2 linked regions of the Elephas maximus indicus genome follow. The protein of the gene in region 1 interacts with the protein of each later gene in a pairwise test. Links are inferred from orthologs where the notes say so. Each region holds a gene or a part of one and is shown on either strand. Other genes may lie near its edges. The genes, in order: RFESD and HBQ1.

What was found.
Region 2: the proteins of RFESD (region 1) and HBQ1 interact in binary tests that used the Homo sapiens proteins (3 or more experiments, as listed by UniProt). The two-hybrid records come from large-scale screens. The link is inferred for Elephas maximus indicus from reciprocal best matches to the Homo sapiens genes RFESD and HBQ1.

Annotation. Positions count from the first base shown.
Region 1 is NC_064820.1:102,942,356-102,946,280, forward strand, and holds the start of RFESD (Rieske domain-containing protein), read left to right. Parts: upstream 1-1,575; 5' UTR 1,576-1,679; intron 1,680-2,115; exon of another isoform or gene 2,116-2,220; intron 2,221-3,925.
Region 2 is NC_064830.1:57,503,424-57,505,905, forward strand, and holds HBQ1 (hemoglobin subunit theta-1), read left to right. Parts: upstream 1-943; 5' UTR 944-966; coding exon 967-1,061; intron 1,062-1,217; coding exon 1,218-1,422; intron 1,423-1,559; coding exon 1,560-1,688; 3' UTR 1,689-1,771; downstream 1,772-2,482.

The sequences.
Region 1 (3,925 bases):
GGTGGTTCGAACTCAAGAGCTGCTCCATGGGAGAAAGACCTGGCAATCTGCTCCTTTAAAGATTTCTGCCTAGGAAACCCTGTAGGGCAGTTCTACTCTCTCATATAGGGTCACTATGAGTCAGAATCAAATCGATAACACACAAAAACACTACCAACAACGACACTGGAAGATAAGGAGTCCTGGTGGTGGGAGTGGTTAAGAGCTCAGCCGCTAACTGAAAGGTTGGTGGTTCAAACCCATCAGCTGCTCTGTGGGAGAAGGATGTGGCAATGTGCTCCTGTAAAGATTATAGATAGCGCTGGAAACCCCATGGGGCAGTTCTACCGCATCCTATAGGGTTACCATGAGTAGGACTTGATGAGACTTTTCTTTTTTTTTTTTTAACCCTAGATGATAAGGAAAACCCATTGCTGTCCAATCTATTTGGATTCATAGTGACCCTACAGGACAGAGTAGAACTCCCCCATAGGATTTCCAAGGCTGTGGTCTTCACGGAAGCTGACTGCCACATCTTTCTCCTGTGGAAAGACAGAGTCAAGAAACACTTTGGTGAAAAATCTATCAGACTCATCTAGTCTCCTGCTGTGAACACAAGTATAAGGGTTTTTGTTTTTAACTCAGAGACATACAGAAAGAAAAACAAAAAGTTGCTCATAATTTGCCTGACCATATAATGCCAGTTGACATCTTACTATAAAAGAACATACTTCGTGTTTACAAAAATTACTGCAAGGTTCAAAAGATGAAAGTGAAAACCATTTCTCATGGTCACCCCACAGCAACCCGTTAAATTCCTTTTCAATTATTTTGATAAAGTTTATATATATACCTGCATATTTGTATCACTAAAGATAATTTTTATTTATACTAAAGTATATACAGTATTCTATACTTTGCCTTTTTAACATTCATTGCCCCAAGGCATTTGTCATTTGCGTATACAGCTATAATGTAACTCATACGTCTACACTGTATTTTATTTAACCATTTTCCTGTTGATGATCACTACTTTATCTTATTCTTTCCTTGCAATCAACACACTTATACATAGATTAAAGAACCCTCATGATGCAAAGGTTAAGCGCTCAGTGGGTAACTAAAGGTTGGCCCTTAGAACCCACCCAGCAGCTCTCCGAGAGAAAGACCTAGAGATCTGCTTCCCTGAAGATTACAACCACAAAAACCGTGAGATTGTTCCACTCTGTCACATGGGGTCACTGTGAGTTGGAATCGACTTGATAGCACTAAACAACAAATACATGGATTACATGCATTGTGACAAACTTTTGCAAATATTTTTATAAGATAGATTCATAGACGTGAGATCGTCGGGTATATTTAAAATTTAGATACTGTGGTGAGATCAACAAACAATTAAAAAAATAAACTGATGCCACCCATATCTGTCAAACACACCATTAAGACTGCCAGTTTGGAGGTCCTCACTGGGCGTGAGTGGCCAGCGACCCCACCATCAGCCACGTCATCTGGCGGCAGGGGCACCTAGGCGGCCTCTGGGGCGGGCGCTCTCTGGTCACGTGGGCAGCTTTGCCCCCCCCCCCCCCCGCCCCGCGGAGGCGCCGCGCGCGTAGCGCGGTGCTTTGACTCGCGGATTCGCATCACGCGGAGGCCTCGGCGGCCCCTCCCGCGGAGACGGAGCGCGGGACTCGAGGACCGTAAGTTCTGTTCTTCCCGGTAGCCATTGGGCGGCCTGCGCGAGGCGGGGCTCGCGGCGTCCGCTGCTTCCTGTCGGCGGCACGGCCGGAGCGCGGGCTTCCGGTTGCGGCTGCGGCGACCTGGCAGCTGGAAGGCAGTTGTCCTGTGGCCTTTGCTCCCGGCCCCACTGAGCGAGCCCTACCGCCTCACGGGGCCCCGGCTCAGCCCCGGTTAACGGTTAACCCGCTGGCGCAGGGTAGCGCCGGGTCAGAGTGGCCTCCCGACCTTGCTCTCTGAGTAATCTGGGTCTCACCCTGGCCCTGACGCCTCACGGTGGGGGGAGGTGGGGTTAAAACAAACTTTACTATCACGGTGGGGGGAGGTGGGGTTAAAACAAACTTTACTATCAAAATATCAAAGTTTACAGCCCCGTCTTTCCCAAATGTTGGTCTCCAGAAATCCAGAGAATCCACTGAACAGCCACGCCCAGACTGTCTTTGTGGCTCCTGGGCCTCTGAGCTCTGCTGAGTGATGAAAATGCGCTGGGCTGCTAACCAAAAGGTTAGTTGTAAGAACCCACCCAAAGGAGCCTCAGAAGAAAACCCTGGTGATTTGCTTCGGAAAGGTCACAGCCATTGAAAATCCTGTGTAGCACAGTTTTACCCTGACACACATGGAGTTGCCATGAGTTTGACTTGACAACAACTGGTTTGTTTAGTTTGAGCACCACTTTAGTATAAGAACTGCAGACCTCTTTACTAAACTGTTAAGTACAGCTTGAAGTCATTGATTTATAAACTATCAAAGCTGGAAGGACTTTAGGGATGACAGCTAACATTATTTGGGTATTTCCCATAGTCAGGCCTAACTCTAAATATTTGACGTGTATTAAAGCATTTGTATTATTTATTCCTCACCCTGTAATATGTGGCAGGTGCTATTATTACAAAAGGCTTTCTTACAGAGGAGGAAACTACTGGTGCAGCGAAGTTGTGCAGCCTGCCCCACAGTAAGACGCAGAGCCAGGATTCCCACCTGGATCTCTCATATAGTAGAGGAAGGTAGTGAATTCCAGAGTAGCTACTTGAAGTGCAGTGAGTTCATTAATTTGACCCTTCTAGCCATAGTCTTTGTAACTCCAACCAAATGACTGAGTAGGACTGTGCAAATGAGGTGCTCGTGGCCATCAAGGGGATTGGATAGCTTGCTAATAATGTAAATAAGGTGCATGGCACCCTTGTGGGAGTAGGACCATGCAAGTAAGGTGTGTGGAACCCTGATGAGGGGATTGGTCAGTTTCACCGTCCTACTAGGCTTAAAATGAGCCATCCAAGATGTGGGAATGGGGGACCTCATGACTACCAAGAAGAAGAGATGGGACTGGAGGGTGTCCTTTGGATCTGGGATCCCTGTGCTGAGAACCTCCTTGACTCAGGAGATAGAGACCTGTAATACCTGAGACAGCGGAAAGCAGTAGCAGAGAAATGGCGGCAGCAGAGGCAGCAGAACCAGGAAACCAGCAGGAGACTTGCCGCCAGAGTAGTGTGCCTCCAGGCACTTGGTGGAGCTAGGTGTGCCCACCCCTGGAGCTAGAGCTGGGCGCCTTCTGATCAAAGCTTAGTGGTGGAGTGGGGTGCCTCTGGGCACTTACCAGCGAAGCTAAAAGAGCTTTGTAACACTTGCCTGAGCAGGGCAGAGGTTGGGCCAGGAGGGCTGAGGGCCAGAGAGAGGCCTGCCTTCTGCATGACTGAGAAGTGGCTGTCCTGATCAAAGAACTGTACCTTGAGCATTCCTGAACCTGAATTATAACCTGTTACTTTCCTAATAAACCTCATAACTATGAGTATGGTCTGTGAGTTTTGTGTGGCCATGGTAATGAATTATCAAACCTAGTGACAAATAGAGAGTCCCCTGGGAGGGACGGTTGGTGTCAGAATTGGTAAAGAGGTTGGAGGAAGAAAGTATGTGTGACCTTCACCCCATAGGAATCAGCCTTGGGCTGATCGTGATTCTCCTTCCTCCTTGTGAAGTTAGAGGAGGTTAGACACTGTCCCCATGCCATTCTTAAACTACTTGACTTTATTAAGTTATTAGGCAGCTATTCAGTTTTAAACATTTAAACATTTGTTGAGACAGTTCTTCCACATTAACGTTTCCAAACCAAAAAAAAAAAAATTAACAACCATTGTCATCATATCTATCACCGTCGTCATTTGGGGTTTATATATATGTATAATCATATATGTATGTGTACATATATATACAT
Region 2 (2,482 bases), on another chromosome or scaffold:
ATCCTTATTTTATCAGTAGGAAAAATGAGGGTCTCGAAAAGGGCAGAGACAGCCCAAGTGTCCATCACCTGATGAACAGGTAAGCACAATGTGGTCCATCCATACAATGAAATATAACCCGGCCATAAAAAGAATGAAGCACTGATACATGCTACAATATAGATGAACCTTGAACACATTATGCTGAGTGAAAGAAACCAGAAAAAAGGGACACACAGTGTATGAGCCCATTTATATGAAATGTCCAGAGTGGGCAAACCCATCGGGACAGAAAGATTAGTAGTTGCTAGGGTCTTGGGGAAGTGGAATGGAAAAGACTATCTAAATGGGTGCAGGGTTTCCTTTTGCAGTGATGAAAAAGTTCCTGAACCAGATAGTGGTGATGGTTGCACAACATTGTGAATGTACTTAAGGCCACTGAATTGTCACATTAAGATGGCTTAAATAGTCAATTTTATGTTATATGGATTTTACCACAGTTTAAAAAATAGGGTTTAGAGTAGCATCTGGCCCAAAGTGAGTGCTACCTGGGTGTTAGATCTTATTATTGGGGTACACTGCAGGCCCTCAATAAATGTCCACTGCACTGAAATGAACATCTGCTATCAGATAACACTTGACATGTTTCCCACTTAATTCTCACAACAATCCGGAGAAGGAGAAATTGTTATCTAGACTTTATACAACAAATGAGAAAACAGACTCCAGAGGTGTAATAAGACTCTGGAAGCAGAATAAACTCAAGTTCCATGCTAAAACACAGTGTTATCTACTACTAATAAATACTAAATATTATTTCCCATATAGTAGACACTCAAAGCGACTGGGCCCCTCAGGGTACAAGGCAATTAGGAGGGTCCTGGGTCAGGCCCGATGAGGGAGACTGAGCGCTCGGCACCCCTTTGGCTAGGGACTCGGCCTGTGAGGGGCGCCTCCTGGAGCCGCAAGGCGGCTCAACTCGGGTTAATGGCGCTGTCAGCGGCGGAGCAGGCTGCCGTGCGCGCGCTGTGGAGGAAGCTGGGCGACAATGTGGACGTCTACACGACGGAGGCCCTGGAGAGGTGGGCTCCCCTCCAGCCCCCCAGCCTCCCCTTGGGGCTTTCCTGCAGCCCCTGGGGGCTGCCGCCCTCCTGCGCTCCCCCAATCCCCTTCCGGGACGCCCCTTCTTCCCTGCCCTCCACCCCCAGGTAACCGCTCATCCGCCGCTCCACCTGCAGGACCTTCTTCGTCTTCTCCTCCACCAAGACCTACTTCCCCCACTTCGACCTAAGCCCGGGTTCAGCCCAGGTCAAGGCCCACAGCAAGAAGGTGGCAGACGTGCTGACCCACGCCGTCCACCACCTGGACGACCTGCCCAGCGCGCTGTCCGCGCTGAGCGACCTGCACGCGCACAAGTTGAGGGTGGATCCAGTCAACTTCAAGGTGAGGACCCTGCCGGGCAGTCCTACCGTCGCCAGGGAGGCACGGTCCCCATCAGGGCCGGGGTCTGGGGTTGACGAGACCCAGAGGAGTGCTGGGGTGCCGTGGGGCTGAGCGCAGCGCGACCCCGTGCTCCGCAGCTCCTTGGCCACTGCCTGCTGGTAACCCTGGCCCGGCACTACCCGGGAGACTTCAGTGCCACCATGCAGGCCTCGCTGGACAAGTTTCTGAGCCACGTGATCTCCGCGCTGGTCTCCAAGTACCGCTGAAAGGGAGGGGGCGAGGGGGCAGGGTCCTGGGCCTCCCAGCAGCCCAACCGCGTGGCTCGTTTGAGTAAAGTCCCCAAGGCCCCAGGCTGCCTGGAGTGGTGTTCTCTGGAGGGGGCGTGGGGGTGGAGTCCCGGGAAGGGGGTGCAGCCCAATTCCATGTCTTGAAGTTTCACCCGACTGTGTGTCCTTGGCCGCAGCCCCTCGGGGCGCAGACCAGGTGGCCCCTCGGGAGCAGGGAGGGGGGTAGGGGGTAATAGGTCCCTACACCTGCGGCTGGGCAGCTGTTGTCCTGGCCCCGCCACTCTTAGGGGTCTCCTCTGGGATCCTGGTCCCTCACCCGCCTGGGGCGGAGCGTGGGGGTGCAAGACTGGTGGCGCAGGTAGGTGGAGGGACCAGGAAACGCATGCGGTCTCAGCCTCTGAGAAAATAGGGAATGGCACCCCCTGCTGGTGCGGGCTGCGGAACGCTGCCCTCGGCCACATGCCCTCGCAGAGGGCTGAACCCCACAATAGTACACAGCTGCCCCGTGTATTGGTGTATTGGTATTGGTGGTTTTGTGGTTGGAAAGGCTTGAGGGGAAAGCCTCTCATTGCAGGACTCTGGTGGAAGAAGCAGGTCCAACTCCAGCACTCTGTCCGTCTAAGGACAGGGAGGCCAAAGGTTCTCTTATTCTTTTCTGTATTTTTCCTCTTAAAATCATGATCCATGCAGGGACTTATAACTTTTACTCCACCTACTACATCTTCTGGTGAGTCCCAGGCCCTGCAGTCTCCTCCAGGGAGACTTAGGTACGG